Lonchura striata: one gene and its partner. The protein of the gene in region 2 interacts with the protein of the main gene of each other region in a biochemical or structural test. Links are inferred from orthologs where the notes say so. Each region holds a gene or a part of one and is shown on either strand. Other genes may lie near its edges.

What was found.
Region 1: the proteins of SNAP25 (region 2) and CPLX1 are reported together in a solved structure, tested with the Homo sapiens proteins (2 studies listed by BioGRID, with this or other methods). The link is inferred for Lonchura striata from reciprocal best matches to the Homo sapiens genes SNAP25 and CPLX1.

The regions. Positions count from the first base shown.
Region 1 is NC_134642.1:3,230,894-3,239,624, reverse strand, and holds the start of CPLX1 (complexin-1), read right to left. Parts: upstream 3,509-8,731; 5' UTR 3,252-3,508; intron 2,517-3,251; 5' UTR 2,445-2,516; coding exon 2,414-2,444; intron 1-2,413. UniProt on the Homo sapiens protein: Positively regulates a late step in exocytosis of various cytoplasmic vesicles, such as synaptic vesicles and other secretory vesicles.
Region 2 is NC_134605.1:23,466,831-23,474,800, forward strand, and holds the start of SNAP25 (synaptosomal-associated protein 25), read right to left. Parts: upstream 3,606-7,970; 5' UTR 3,464-3,605; intron 1-3,463.

The DNA of each region.
Region 1 (8,731 bases), on a different chromosome or scaffold from region 2:
TTAGAGGAGACCTTAATGACAAAACTGCAGTATTTTTTTCTTTCTTCCAGGAATCCATAAGAGCTTATGAGAATAGTATAAGAACTTCTGCACAATTTAAAAAATCCTATCAAGCAGAATAATGAATTTAGATGTGTTCTGGGAAAAACCATATTAAACTAAAATCAAAGAGCCATGAAATCCACCCAAGGACCTCCCAAAAAGTGAGGATAATAAAAATAGTCACTAGCAGATCAGACCACGTGCCCTACCCAAAGCAAGCCTATTGACTAGAGGTTTGGTGGTCTGCTCAGTTTGACCATCCTTGTGGACACAATTCACAGATTAGTCTGAGTTGGAAGGGACCCAGAAGGATCACTGAGTCCAGCTCTTAAGTAAATCTCCCTTTGGATATCAGAACTGGCAGAAATAAAGGGTTCTGGACCCAAAACTAAGGAAGCAAACTATATCCTTTAGTCCTTGGTTTGCTGTGCCAGTCTGGCCAGCCTGGATGATTTGCATCAGCTTGGGCTTTAACTCCAGGGAGAAACCAGTGTCCAAAACCACTTTACTTTCCATATTAGATTTGCAATGGGAGATCTTGTTTTATCTTGTTGAAACTATTTGTAATTTAAAAATAGGACTCTGCTTAATGAATTAGCATTTCCTGGATTTTACCACTCTGCAGAGACTTCTCCTTTATTGAGTAAGTGGGTAAGTTCCAGACACATTAAGTCATCTGGCAGAAGAGCTGGTGCCCTGGACAGCATCTTGACTGACATCAGAAGCTCAGACTTCACAAAAAGATGCTTTTTGAATTTACCTTCTCAGAAAGTCCTATTACCATACAAATCCTGACCTTGGCATGCAACATCTTGTCAGAATGAAGGAGGTCTGCCCAGGGTGAATGTTGTTAAGCACGGGCAGACACTGCTTCCAACTCATGTTAAGTCACAAAGCTGCAGAAAAAAGCAGCCATGGTAGATGTTATTCCTTTGCTGCAGCCCTCCTCCCCCCACCTTTAGCTGCAGTCTGTGAGCATTTATGTCCCTTCACTGGATTTATGGATCTCCAGCTGTAGTTGCTGTATCTCCAGTTTGCAGGTACATTAGTTCAATTCTGTGCAAGCAACCTTGCACTACAGCAAACAGTGCAAAGTCTGCACATCTTAACACTAATTCTCCTTCAAAACAGGCACTGAAGAGTGAAATGAAGCACAGTGCTGCTGCCACACAAACCGCTACCTTCTCACGCAGATGTCCTCATACCTCACTGTTTCATGCAAAACAAATTCATCCCTTTCTTCTCCAGTTTTATCTCCCTATTCAAAATACCCCAACTAAAACTTTGGTTGCTTCCTCTGTTCTAAACTGTGAAAATTTTGCTCCTCTGGTGAAAAACACCCACCACTTTCAGAGATGAAAACATTATTTCCACACCATGGGATAGAGTCCTGCAGTAAATGTTGAAGTTGTATATGACATCAATATCACCACACATTAAACATTTACACAGCCCCATGATTCTACAGTTTCTTCAAAGCAAAAATAATGAAAAATGCACACAAGAAATAGAGTACAAAAGAGAATTATCAGCTTCCTCTGAGGCAAATATTTCAGTTCCCAACAGCATCCAGCATCACCTCAGGGATGCTCAGACCAAATGTCCAGGTCAAGCAGTCTAGAAAGTAACTGTGGCAGAAAAAAGGAACCTCATTCCCAAATATTTATTCAGTGTTTTCAATTTTGCCTACACGCATCCCTAACTTTTGTATTTCACACCGTTAGGTTAAAATAATTCCTCATACACGTAAACTAATATACAGAAACCCACAGAAGATTTGCCTTAAATCCAGGTAAAGTGTGTAGGAATAATTTATTATCATTTCCATCCTTATTGTGGCAGTGTCCTTACCAAAAACAACTATCAAAATATCAGAGACAGAAATTTCTGCACTGGGCATTTTTTGTTCAGGATTTGGCTGGTCTTTGGGCCAAAGATGAAAGAAGGTTTACACACATAGACAAAATGTCACTCTTTCTTTGGGCTTACTCTGCCTAAACCAGTCTTTGTCCTTTATAATATCTGCCTCAGTGTCATGGCATGAAGCAAATCAAGGCTTGCGCTGCACAGCAGGATGTGCATCCAGGTGGTGAGGTGCCAATTAGGCATGACCCAGGGCCCGCACACCCTGTGTGGGAGGTCTCTTCTCTGACATGGGGCTTTGGTCTCTGCTTGTTGCTGCCCTCTCCTGCTCAGATTCTCCAAATACTCCACTCCGGGATCATTAATCAGTGACAGGCATGCTCTTCCAAGTCCTCAATAAGCTATTCCAGGTGCAGTCCCTACTATAGTAGACCATCTCCTCTCTTTCTGAGTGGAAAGGGGAGGGGTAGGAGGGATTCAAGGCCCCTTGTTTGCCAATCACACTTACCTCCTAGAGCTTGTTTCATAACAAAATCCATGATTTGTCACTTGGGGTCCTGCCCACCTTCACACCTCACATGCACAGAGACTGGAAATCCTTGGAAGGCAGCCTGCAAAGAGGCACAATTAAAACAGGAATAGTGTCTCTATAATGCCTGATATTCCTCAGCTCTCTTCCCACAGTCTTCCTCCCTTTGTCTGAGTGCAAACAAGTTTCCAGCCCTCCATCCTTTCAGACCCTGCTTTGCACGGGCACCCCAAGGAGCAGAGCTGCATGTCAGCGGCTGGGAGGACTCAGGGGTACACGACGGCTCCCCCAGCCTGGGCAAGCGCCCGGGAGGAGTGCGGAGGAGCAATGCGGTCCCCCTTCATGGCTTTTTTCCTTGCAGACGGGCAGGAAGGAGTTAAACCTTTGAACTTTCCCGTTTTCCCCGCCTAGCTTCTCGCCCTCTCGGTTTGCTCCGAGGTGGCAGGTCCGCCCGGGACCGCCGAGGGGGCATTTGAAGGTGAAGCGCCCTGCAAGTGCCCGGGAGAACAAGCGGGGGATGCTGGGCGATCGGGATGCGGATGCAGTCCGGCTAGCGGGATGGAAAGTCCCCCTTCGGAAAGCCCCCAGCGCAACGCCGGCGAGGGCTGCACCTCCTCAGGGTGAGCCGGGACGGCTCAAGGTTGAGACCAGCCTCAGGTGCTGCACAGCTCCTTCATCCCACCCCCCGCCCGAGTTCAGCATCGGCTCACAGACACCTGGAGGGACAAGAGCTGTCCCCGTCTCCGTGCGCCCGCACCCCGCCTCTCCTCCCTGCCCTTCCCGGCTCGGCACGGCCCGCCCGCCCCGGCGCCGGTACCTCGCTCGGCGTGCTGAGACGGGCCGGGCCGGGCCGGGCAGGGGCTGCGGCAGGTGCCGGGGCTGCCTCTCCTCTCCCTCCTCTCCCCCGGGCTCCGCCGGCGCCCGTGTGCCCGAGGCTCGCCGGGGAAGTTGCGGGCGCGGAGTGGGGGAGAAGGAATGAGTCCACAGCTTCTCCCTACTTTTTTTCCCCCGCGCCCCTCTTTTTATCACAGCATTTCCGGACCATCCCACCGACACGGTCCCTCCTTCCTCCTCCCCTCGTTGCGGGCGTTGGACTCTCTCCCTCCCCCTGCCTCCGGCTCCCCCGCCCCTTCCCTGCGCCGCCCTCGCCCCTCGGTGCCGAGGATGCCGGCAGCGCTCCCCGACCCGCGGAGGGGTGCGAGTGTCTGCGAGTTGTCCCCCGCCCCATCCCTGCTGTCCCCGGCAGCCAGGTGTCCTTGTGCTGTGCCGTGGGGGGAAGGAGGGGCCGCTGTCAGCCCGCTGTAGCATTTTGCAATTGGTTTCCTTGCCTCTCCTCGGGAGTCAGTGTCTGTGTGTGCCAGGGGAAATCTCTGCAAACACGGCTTCCTGCAAAAAGGGGGAGGGTGTGGGAGAGCGTTCTGCATCCTCTGTTCTGAGTCCTTCCCCCAGATCCCCTCTCATTCCCTAGGTCCTGGAACGAGTTGGAGAGGCAAGGAAGAAGACAAGGGAGGGAGCAGACTTTCTCCTCCCTCTTGCTTCGCCTCGAATTAACTGCGGCCGGAGAAGAATCGCCGGCTGCTTGTCTCTGTGCTCTCGCTATCCAGGTTGGGGGGGCGAGGCCGGGGGGAGGGACGGGATGGGGGGAAAGAGGAAAGTCGTCTGTCTCCCTGCGACTGCCGCTGAAGGACGCCAGTGCAGCGACCCGTTGTCCAGCCCGGATTCGGGACGGCATCTGGAGGTGAGGAGGAAGGAGCTGTGCGAGCGCTATGTGGCAAAGCAGAGCAATATCCACTCCAGAGCACCGGCGCCCACCTTTAGGGATGCTGACAGCCGGCTTGGCGCTGGATGGGGAGGAGACGAGTTCTGCTGCTGATCCGCCCTCTTGTCGCCAGCAGGAGAGGTGGGACAGCAACCCCCAGAGTAATATATGGGTCTAAAAGGAAGGAGGGGGCTAGAGCGGGATGCTGCCGGCACACGGGGAGCTCGGGGATGGGGAGCAGCGGCGCCTCCCGGGGAGATTCTGGCACGGCCCGTGGGCGACATCGTCTGAAGGTCAGGAAGGACGCCGGGCCCGCACCTGGCCCCGCGGAAAGGCGTGCGGAGCCAGAACAGGCGAGCTCTGAACAGGCAGCCATCGGGGCTCCGCAGTCTGCAAAGCTTTCAGATGCCAGCCGCAGATGCAGGAGTGCATATCTCTACACTCAGAGCCGTGTCTACCACCTGGGTCTGCCTCAGTGCCCCATGCCTGTCAGTGCTTCAAAGGCATTTGGATAATGCCCTTTATAACACCACTTCATCCTGAAGTGATCGAGTCAATTGGGCTAGATTGTCTCTTTAGGTCCCCTTCCCCTGAACTGTTTTGTTCTATTCTATAGCCTCCCAGAAAACCACTTTTGCAGCTGACACTAATGTTAGTCCAAGAAAGTCACCCGGGTAAGCAGTGCTGCACTTTTTCTAACAAGTTTCAGGGAGGAAAAAGACAGGGTGGAAAAGCCTCTTGTTTTATACCTTAATTCACCCCCAGAGTGAGTGTTTTATACCTGAACAAGAGTGAGTGTTTTATACCTGAACTCACCATTCAAAAGGCATAATGCAGTATTTTTTATGTTTTTTCATACATAACACAGGAGTTTGTCAGCACAGATTACTGTGCTCAAGAAATGAACCTGGGAGCCTGCTGGAGCTGTGTGCCTGGGTTTCTATGCTATTAACACAGTGTTTCCAGATCTGTGGTGCCTCCCCAAGTGTCTATATGCCTTTGAGCAGGGTTTATAGTTTGGGTCTGTCATATCACACCTCACATTCCTTTTTCATCATATGATTGCTCCTAGAGAAAGGACAGCATCCCCATCCCAGACTAGCAAACCTCCATACGCACACCTTGCTCTTGTGTCCCAGAGTCTGGGAAGGAGCAATTAAATACCTTCAAACAGAAGGATCAGAAAAGTGTGAGCTGATAGAACACCCAGTTGCCTAAAATCAGCTTTCTTCTTCCTATTTTGAGAATCCTGGACCATGCTACATCAAGGAACTCCTGCAGCAGTCAAGGGTCAGCATAACCAAGTGGGGCTGCTGAGAAATGTCATTGTTCCTGTTCATAGGTTCCTTACAAACTTTGCAACAGCAATTGTCCTCCCCTCTGTGCAGAGAAGAGTGACGTCATCCACAGGGATTTCAGAAGCCAGACAAAACAATAGGGACATCCAGAAGTCCCTGAAAGATCCCTGAGCTTCTTGTTGACCTGTTTAGACTGGCTGGTCTGTTTCCAGAGACAGCCCACTCTCCAAGGGTCATGTACCTATGGTTCTGTTTCCAAACTGCACCCACATTTTCCAGATTACACAGCTGACACAGAAAATCATGATACTGAGCTCTTAACACTGACTACCTCACAGTTCCCTCCTCTTCAGGAGACCAAGGCACATCATCATGAAATCACGAACTCCAGTGAGATACTCTAAGTCCTAACTTCAGTATCTCTACCCTGCCTCAAGTGCCAGATTCCTTGTACCACCCACAGGATGTACAGATGAAAATCCAATCATTTGTGAGCCTGATTTGGGTACCTCCCGTCCAGGTGATACTCTGACTATTCGGTCAAGAAAGTTCCTACCAGTACACTCTTCACCACATGAGGATCAGGCACAGAGGCAAGAAAGCACACAGTCAAAAGAGATGATGTAATCTATGATCTGCATCTATTCATAGTCTTAGGAAGACTTCTTGAGAAGGCTTTTACCTCCGAGGCAGAGCCTTTCCTCAATTTTCCAAGAAACCCAGCTGGAAAGACAGTCTCGTGGGGATCTGCTAGGTGATTTACCTGCCATACATGATGTCTGATACACAAGAAATAATAGCTCCTGCAGCCATGGTAATGATATGAGCAATGTCACATGCATCTTCTTTCTGATGGCATGTACCAATATCCTAGGTTCATAAAAATTTATGTGTATGAATCTGGCAGTAATGCAATTTTATAAGATCTACTGGATAGTAACAAATCCCAGGAACAGCAGCGTTTTCTCACCAGAGTGAGGGATGGAGCCTGCGGTCTGTGAGTGGGATCTATCCCAGCACCATGGACAGAGAACAGCCGCCCTGACAGCTCCGAAACTTCTCCAAACACCAAAGCCAGTTCTTAGTCTGGATTGCACTGTGTAGCTGACAAATGCCTGCTCCTGATGGTAGGAATAGGCTTGTTCTTGCTTGCAGAACCAGAACAGTAGGAATCCACATTGTGACCTTGCTCGGTGCAGATGAAGAGTGCAGAACACTGAGCAAAGATCTCCTCCATGGAGTTTTGTGCATGGAACTGAGATTCCTTCCTTGGCCACCAGCTGGGAATCTGTGTAAGAAGTGGAATAAGCCAATAATTGAGTTTGGTGACATTTTCCATAGAAAAATTTATATTTGTATCTCTAAAAAGAAGGAAGGGTCTGTTTTCAGACAGAAAAAAATTAAATTAGTCAGGATGTTTCATTTCAACATCTTAAAACGCAGTGTTTGATTATTCATTTCCATATGGTGTTTGACTACTAAACTGAAACCAATGCCATGTGAAAATGATACTAATAAGAAAGCTCACAAACAAAGTGTAAATGTTATAGAAAGTAATTAAGCAGCCGCCCGAAATGAACATACTTAGTTTCTTTTTCTTTTTTCCCCCCTATCTTTTATTAGCTCTCACTATTGGAACTGCTGTGCTGTTCAGTAGGCTGCTGGCAAGACCTGCACAGGAGCAGGGTGATTAGCTTTTTATCAACACAGCTACTGAGACAGAGGAGTCAATACTTGCTAAAGGTAGTTTGTGTACAACAGTTGCAAATCCTTCAGTGGTTTAGTTCGCTGAACACATCTACTGAGACAAATCTACTGTTTGTTTCATTTTCTCTTCAACTGTCAATTCTGACTGCCAAAACATTTCAGAATTCAAGCATTTTTTACCTCTTCAAAAGTACTGCTTTTTTTCTTGTTACATTCAACTTACAGCAGGCTTTAAGGTTTTTATTTTCTAACCAATTTAAAAAAAAATAACATTCTTTTTAAGAAGTGTATGTTTCCCTAAAGCAGGGAAAAATTATAAAAGGATTTTACAGCCATTTCTAATAGCTCTGAAGTTCTGGTCCCTTGAGATTTCTTGAAGGTGAACTCTCTAGTTGAGCATTTGTTTCAGCTATCACAAGACCAAATTTTAGCTGCCCACCCTCAGAAAAACTGAAACAGACACATATTGATTGTTCTGTCTTAATGACATGTGAACACAAGAGTGCAAACCATATAATTTAAAATTTTTTTCTTTTTTATTTTAATGAACACAGATGCCCCAGTCTATTTTATGAATAGGACCCTTGGTAGGCTGCCATTTATAGCCTCTAGCTCTTAAGCTGACAACTTCTTGTTTGTTTTCTACCTTTTCTACTCCCCTAGTCCCTCTATCTCATTCCTTTCTTTGTTTCCTTCTCTCTGGAGAAGTTTTTGCCTTGCCAGACTTATTGAGAATCCCTTCTCAGCAGGACTCTGATTCCTGTGGATAGGCATGATCAGGTAAATCCTGTACCTCTTATCTCCAGGATTTACAGCTGTAGATTACAAGGCTTCCTTGGCAGACAGAAGTTGTCCATAAAGCCAAGAATCCATCTTTATCACTGCAGTGATTAAATAAAGATGCCTCTATCCAAAGTGTATCAAGTTTTTGTCATAAGATTATTATTTCAAGTACTTTTGGCAAGAATTTTTCCACCAGTGAATAAGTCATCCAAACCAGAGCATTCTGGAATCTGTCAGCTTGTACAGGAGTTTAGAAGCAAAGAAGGTAAAAAAAATTACTGCTATATATTTGATGCTGTTGAAACATTCTACTTTGAGGTATCAAAAGTGCTGCACCTTTTCCATGACCAAATCACTTTGCCTTGACTCTTTGCTTCAAGCCATACATGTGTGTATGAAAAATAAACAAAATCATAGCAGAGTAAATTGGATTTGTTTCAGAATTCTTCTGTCAATGGAGAGGGGAAAAAGATGCCATACTTTTCCTCTTTGTTGCAATTTAAAGTGCAAGCAAGATTCAAAAGGTCAAACACACTTTACAACAGAATTTCTGTTTTCCCAGGTAATTAATTCTTTGCCTCGCCTTCTTTTATTACTCTATGTCTTGGAAAACAAAATTATCAGAGGGAAGTATTATGCTTGGCTGAAATGATAGCTTGGTGTCAGATGCTATGGCCTGTAGTTCTTCTCCTGTGTTAAAAGAGTAGCCTCAAGTTCTGAGCTCATTTTGGAAGGGATGCCTTCACCTCA
Region 2 (7,970 bases):
CATCAGATAAGAGGCAGATTTTGCTCGTGGGAGTTTGTGTGTGCCTAAGTATTTGTGGAGGGAGTAACATAGGGGTGACAGACAAAAACTAGGAATATAACTTGCGTGTTTTGGAGAATGTGCTTGTTGCAATACAATGCAGCTAGCTGAATCTGCAAGGTCAGTAGGCAAGAAAGCCAGAGTTTATTGAAACTAAACGAAAACCATACCATTGGTGGCTCAAAAATAATAAGCTAGCTAAACTATTCCTTGACAGCTTACAGCCTTGACAAACTATATCCAGCATTCCCAGGAGTAGATAGACGAGCCCTATGCTTGCTCCAAAGTCCAGCTTCCTAGAGGTAATCAGGATTTGCCTGAGAAGTGCATCCTGCAGCAGCTCTCCAGCAACACATTATTCTTGTCTGCCTTAGACTTTAAAGCTCTGAAATGCTTGAACAAGTCTGTTGTTACAGATTGCCTGGCACTGGTCCAGCCCAAAGGTGGCTGCATTGGCAGCAGGGCATGAAACTCCACCGACAGGAAAAATGTACTCTGCCCAATGAATGCTGCAAAGTCAGCCTGCATCTGTTGTGGTTTTACCCAGCCTGGAACCCTGAAAATCTCTGAAATAAGCGTGTGTGTGGGTATAAATGTGTATAGATGAAAGAGTCCTCCTTATGTTATAAAATGTTATGACAGAGATTTGGGGGGAAAAAATGCAAGAGAAAGAGTAATGGTGTGACAACAAGCCAAGGTAAAGGGAAAACAGTTTCTGCTCTTCATTCCTGAGAGAAGAAATCATTAGCAAACTGAGTCCTACACCATGCCATATATTTTCCATTTTTCCCTGAGGGTTGCTACAAATGCAGCAGCTGTAGCTGTGTGACACATAGACATACAAATCGCTGAAGTTGTTCACACTGACAGGAAAAGAGTTTTGTTTCGTTACCTTATGTAGTTAAAGCAGTGCAAGCACTAGGCAGAGACCATGCTTTATTTGCCTTAGCACTTTAATCTTGTCATTTGTTGCCATGTCTAAAGCATAGGGAGAAAAATGAAAAGCTTTCCTTGACCTGAAAAGCATCTCCTACCTCACTGCAATAAATCTGGGAAGTGGAGCTGCATCTCATTAGATGTATTTTGAGGGTTCGTGCTGGCTGGATTCTGCTGTTCTTTCTTTCACTGCCCCCATGAGTTCAATGGACACACAGCCTGGTCCCGAGAGCTCTCAGAAATGTCACTCTCATTTTCTAGTTAGATGTGGAAAAAAAGTTAAGCTGCATTTATTTGGGGTTGCTATCTAGCTGCATTTGGTTTTGTAACATGCTGAGTTTCTGCAGCACCTCTTGACTTCAGAGGCAGCCTCAAGCTTTTGCTTTTGCCAGTCAGGCCTGCCTGCATCTTTGGTTTGGTCACCTCTGTTATCTTTTTGGCACTCATCCTAGGAACCAAACTCTTCAGCAGTCACCTCCTGGCTGACCTGTTCTGCACGATGCAGAAGCAATGGAAAACCACTGCTGCTTCTTCCTAGGCTGGCTTTTTTGCAGGGATGTGCAGGTGCCTGGGGGCCTAGGAGAGAGTGTCTTCCCCAGCCATTCCCACCGGAGCACACATTTCCCAGATGGCTCCATCCCTCCCCTTGCCACCTGAAGGGGTGGCTGCCCCATACCATCCTCGTGCTGATCACTGGGGGAGCTGCTCCATGCCCAGAGCCAGGACGAGGTGGGGGTGTGGGACAGGCATGTCCTTGCAGATGCTGTGGCCTGGGCTGGAAGCAAACGGGTCTGGGTTAAGGGACTGCTCTGCCACCCCTGGGCAGCGCCGCAGACCAGCCCCCCATTTCCCCCCCTACCTCTGCTTTTCAGCTGGGAACGAAACCAGCAGCAATTATTCAAGCCAAGCACGTAATCTGGCAGATCCCGCGACTCTGGTTTGACGCAGCTACGCAGCTCAGTGTCTGGACACGCAGCCCAATCCCCCTTTCTCCCCTTGTTTATTCGCCCCGAAAAAAAAAAAAAAAAAAAAAAAAACCCCAAAAAAACCAAACAAAAAACCCAAAAAAAAAAAAAAACTGCAGCGAAGTTGCCAACTTGGGACCGCACCGAGGCGTTTGGGCGTCTGGGGTGCCAGGAAGTGGAAAGGACGGGCGGAGGGAACACCGGCGGCGCCAGGGGAGCTGTGGCCAGGAGCCGTGACGGGGCAGCCCGCGTTACATAAGGCGGCGGCTCCGCACCGCTCCGCAGCGCGGGGCCGGGCGGGGGGGGCGCGGGCTGATGTCCCCCGTGTCACGGCGCAGCGCCGCCGGAGCCCGCGGCACGCAGCGCCCGAGGCGCCCGCGGGCAGCGGCGCCGGGACACGGAGCGCGGCTGCGGGGAACCCCGGGGGGCTGCCGGTGGTCTCCGCGGGCGGGACCCGGCCCCGGGGGGACCCCGCGGGCTAGGCGTTATGTAACCCCCGCCTTCCTTGCACAAACACCTCTCCAGGGAGAGGGGCTGGAGTGCCAAACGCCGATTAATTGCAGGAACTGATGTTATTTGCCTTTTGTTGTTGTCGTTGTTTGGTTGGGTTTTGGTTTTTAAATTTTATTTCTCCCTCTTCTCACTCTGAGCTACAGAACCACAACTGCGCTTGCCCGCGGTTCTGTCCTGGAATGAGGGAGCACCGCCGCTCGCCAGTCGGGAATCTCTTCCCAGTCCCGTGTCCGGGGGGGCAGCCCCGGGGCGGGGGGCGCGGAGCCGCAGGGCGCTGCAGCACGGCCGCCTCCGCTGCCGCGGTGCCGAACGTACACAGACACACTGACACGCGCAGAGACATAGACACGGACGGCTCGCAGCCCCCGGTCCCGGCGCGGGGCCCTGCGCTGTCCGCGGTGCTGAGCACACACTCGGACAGACAGACAGACAGACGTCCCCGCTCCGTCTCGCTCGGGCCCGGCGCTGTCCGCGGTGCTGAGCACATGCACACGGACACGCAGACAGACACAGACACACGGACAGACACAGACAGACGCACGGACAGACACGGACAGACGCACGTCCCCTCCCCGTGCCCTCGGGCCCCGCGCTGTCCGCGGTGCTGATGCTCCGTCGCAGCCCGGCGCGCTGCGGGCGCTGCAGTGCTCCGGGCGGCACAGCCCGGGCCGGCCCAGCAGCGCAGAGCGCCCGCACGCCCTTCTCCCCGGTCGGAGCTGAGAATGGCGCCGGTTCCCCTTCTCCGACATTGCCTTCTCCTCCGGCCTCCTGCCGCCCGCGCGGCCGAGAGGCACAGCCCGGCTGCCTCCCCGGCTTCAGCCGGCAATGAGGCTGGCGGCGAAATCGCCCCCTTCTCCCTGCCTTTCTCTGTCCCCGCAGCAGCCCCAGAGGCTGGAGATAAAAAGCCGAGCAGGTCCCACTTTAAACATATCCCTTTTCTCTATTTCATTATCGTCAATACCGCCCCTCCCCCTGCTGAGCCGGTGCCCGCGGTGGTGTCCCACCTTTACCTGGGCTGGCGGAGCGCGGCGCGGCGGGGTCGGTGGGTCGGTGCCGCAGCTGGATGGGAGGCAAGGACAGGAGGCTGCTGACCTCCGCGGGTCTCCTTCTTCAATGGATCGGGAGCCGTGCCCTCATCAAAGATGGCCGTCCGCTCCTACGTCAGCAGCTTTTAATAGCCCTCCCCGGCGGGGGGAGCGGGAGGGGGCAGAGCGGGCCGGGCGGGTTTGAGTCATCGCCGCCGCACCGCTCCCGCAGCCGGCCCCGCCGCCTCCCGCAGCCGCCCCGCCGCCGCCTCCCCGGGGCCAGGGTCGGGGCGGCGGGCTGGGGGTGGCTGCGGGCGAACCGCCCGGGCAGGGGGGCAGGGGCCCTCCCGCAGCAGCGATTTCCTCCGCCAAAGGGGTGGTCCGAAGAGGGTATCCCTCTGAAGTCCCCGGTACTCCATATATGGCCAATCTACGTGGGCTTCTATTTTTACGTGTGAATTCTTCCTTCTCTCCCCTCTTTTTATTTCTCAGAACATCCTGCCAGGGGTCTGGGTGTGTTATTCTGTTTAGTCTCCCTCTCCTCCCCCCCCTCTCCAAAGTCGGGGCAGCCAAACACGAGGAAATCCATGGTTAAAGGACATGTGTTGTAACTGATCATTTGAGGGACAGGTTCAAAAATGAGAGAGAGAAATCAAAAACAAAGCCTGGACAAGTATATGAACACACACACAGCACAGTGAGCACATCCCACTGCTGCTGAGGAAGGAAACGGTAACTCTGTTAGAGGAAAAGTGCCTGGCTTATTTATCATTAATTAATTAAAATATTCATTCTGAGTGTACCTAATTTGGAGCAAATGGAGCTGTCTCCAGCGTGATTTCTAATGGGGAGGAAATACTTTCATTTCATACAAAACAGTGTATGTTTGTAAAATTTATCTCTTAATGGAGATCGTGATGAAGGTTGGGGATTGCAGTCAAAGTGCGATGCTCTTTTTCATAACCTCACTCATTCTTTGCCTTTCACCCCACAAGCCTTGGCTTTCATTTATGGAACCATTCAGACCAGGAGATGAGCAACGATGCCTCCCTGTTCCCTGCCTCAGCCTCTCCTGTGAGCAGTGAGTGAGCCCTGCCTGGGTTTAACTCTGACACGGTGTGTGAAGGCTTTTCTGAACAGTCTGTGTTATGGCAGAGTCAAAATATCAGTTGCACGTTAGGATAATTCCATCCTCATCCTCTCTTCTTGCCCCCCACTTTTGCCAAGAAGAAGACAGAAGAGAGGGAAGGCTTTGCAGCTGTATTTTGGAGCGCGTTCATCTCGTGTTATGGTTGTATGGGCATGGGGGAGGGACGGGGAGGGGAGGGGAGGGGAGGGAGGTGCGGGGGAGAAGGAGAGAGAATTGCGGGTGATTCCTCCTACCCTGCTCTGTAGTTCCCCACAGAAAAACGTGACTGTAGATCGTGCTTTGTGAGTCTCACCCTCTTCCTACGAAAATATGTCCTTCAGTCTCTTTTGAAAGGAAGCAGTCAAAAGTTTGCTAAATATACGAGAAGGAATTCTCAGTCGAGATGGGCTTCCTGCTGCATTAGAGTATCTAATGAGTTGTGCACATGGAAACCGCAGGGAAGGAGAGAACCTGTCATGTTCCCGGGCTGTAAACACAGCCTGAGATTAACACTGTGCAGACATCCCCCTCCAGGTGAGGGATCTGGAGCAGCAGCCTGATTGGGAAAATGCATTTAGCGTCATAAACGGCAGTTTGGGAAAAGAAACCTTTGCAGGCTGGCTCCCGCAGGGGTTAATTGTGCCCAGCACTCGGGTGAGGTGTGCACTGCGGATGGCAAGAGGAATCCCAAAGCGAGCCCTGCTCTGGAATCCAAGCTGCCCATGTGCAACTTCCTAGCACACAGGGAAAATTAAAAAGGAATTCTCAGTCAGACAGCTCGGTTGATGGGTGCTTCAGAAACAAGTATGATTTTCGAGACAGCAATACTAGCACTTATTATTAATTCATATTAACGGTAGGTAAGGGAAGGATAAGAGAGATTATAAACTGTTGTTTTGGCTAAGCCACCAGCCCTGCAAAATGCTGGCTGGGTTTGGATTCAGCCCAATAATGCCTCGGAGAAGAATTTCAGTCCATTGGATACCAGCAGGGATGAATTTAGCTCTTTGCATCAAAAGTCAGGGAGGAAAATGCAGTGAAGGCAAAATAAAATGCAGCATAACTTGGGGAAAGAGATGTAAGGAATGGTAAAAGGAAGAGACAGCAGAGAGGGAGTGGGAGGAGGATAAGAGGTAGTTTTCCAGTGAAAAAACTGGGATATCGCATTAAAAAAAAAAAAAAATTAAGATTCATTTTTCAGCTCTGCTGCAGCAGAAATCACATAGTTTAATAAAACAACAAAGGGCAGAATCATTAAATAGATCACAAACGTTGCCCAATAAGCTTAGTAGGAACAACTACCTTTCATTCTGAAAATGAGCAAGGGAAGGGATGAACCATGTGCTGTTCAGGAATGTGGCTGCCTCTATCCTGGGAGATGCAGAGGGGGGCAGGCTTTTGCACCGCAGCGCCGGAATTTCTGTCGCAATAAGTGCTACTAAACAATTTTAACTGATTCTTTAGCATCTTTTAAGGATAATTAAAAAAAAAAAAAAGAGAAAACACATGAGGATTTTATTGACTCTATCTAGTACTATTTGAACACTTGTTTCACACTGTGTACAGGGGATATGTGAGAAGAGAAACCTATAAATGAAGTAGGACAAGAGAGAAAACCGGAATTTGGTCTAAGAATGATTCAGCTCCTTCTAATTTATTCAGACAAATATTCAGCAGGCTTAACAAGCAGTACCTGTGGGCACAGCCCATGAATAATAAGGCAGGAATATGCTCTCCTGCATGACAGCAGCAGGATGTGTGCTCCCCCATCACTGGCCAGGAGCCAGAGAAGGGCAGAACAGGCACAGCCTGCAGCAGGTTAAGGGGGGAAAGAACGACACCTGCTTTGTCCATGGTTTGAGATCTGTGGGCAATGGGAACTTCCTGGCTGCTCACAGCATCCCCTCCAGTTCCAACTCGCACTCCTGTGTGCTGCAAAGCTGGGCTGTTAGGCAGCCAAGTGAGGGGAGCACCAAAATGCTCAAAGTGCCACCAGATCCTGGATGTTATTTCCTGCACTCTCTTAGAGTCAGTTATAACACAAAGACTGCCTTTAGTCTCTCCACCTTCCTCACACAGTTTCTTTTTTTTTTTTTTTCTTTTTTCAGCAGAGAGGGAAATATCTTGTTTATCCAAATGCTGCTCATCCTGGCCTCAAGTATGTGGTGGGAAAGAAATTGAACTAAGTATAAAGCAAATAAGAGAGTAAAAACGTACCTGCTTAAGCACTGAACATTTCCCAGCCTCTCATATTTCTGCCTGTTCCCAGGCTGAGGTGCTGAGGCATGCCCCAGTCTGATATGGGCTGTGAAATAACAGTCTAAGTATGGAGCCCTTTATGCAGAACTCCTAATTACTTTCTGTCATTCACTGCTCTTTATGTAACTCTGAATTTTGACCATCAACAGTACTTGCATTTATCTGCCCCAGGCTGCTTCTGATTAAATTGGAGGGAATGGCTGGGCCTAATTTTTCCCTGCATGTTCAGGATCTCTAGATACAGTTAGGCTGTGGGCTTTTTTAAGGACCTGTCTGTGATCAGGTACTCCAGTTTAGGCCAAACCAAGATTTCTCTGAGGTTTATGTTTAAAAATACAGAGATTTAAAATACAATTGCAACATAGACCTTTGGAGATGAGTCCCCACTGATTTCCTGATCACTCTTTTAGATGTGCAGAGTCAGATCCTCAAAGGTGTTTCCTGAATAGTTGCTTAAAGAGCAACCAGGACTTAAATATTTGGTGAGTCTGGGTTCCACTGCTGCCCCCAGCTCCCCCTGCCTTGGCTTGGTCCTTCCACAGCTGTGCTATAACCGTGTCATTTCCTTCAATGCCAGACTTCAGCATCTATTATCCCCTATGCAAATGAGAGGTAGTCACAACATAGCCACATCTCTGAGGATTATCATCTGCTATGGGGGTAGGACTGGTCTGAGGCCTCTAGAAACCTTCCCAATGGGAATTTTAGGCCCAGCTCAGCTTTCATGAGAAGAAAGCTCTGCCCAAGAAAGTCACAAAAGTATTGGACACAAAGGAAGGAGGACTACAGCCATTTGACCTATATTATACAGAGGAAAGAAGATACAGAAACAGCTTTTTCTATGTTCCTATGACATAGACAGCAGGTAAGGATTAAACTCCAATTTTTAATTTAAAACAATCCCCATTTAGTAAAATAAACTATCATTGGATTTTAATTCTCCTCCTGTGCACATGACCTGAATTTGGGAACCATTTCAAAAACCTGCCAGAAACCTGAATTAAGGAAGGACAGATGTCAGACAAAGCAGGACACAGGCTTAGCTGAGAGATGTGAACTGCTGTGTGGTGTTCCTTTGGCCTAACCTTTCTGTGAGCACAAAAA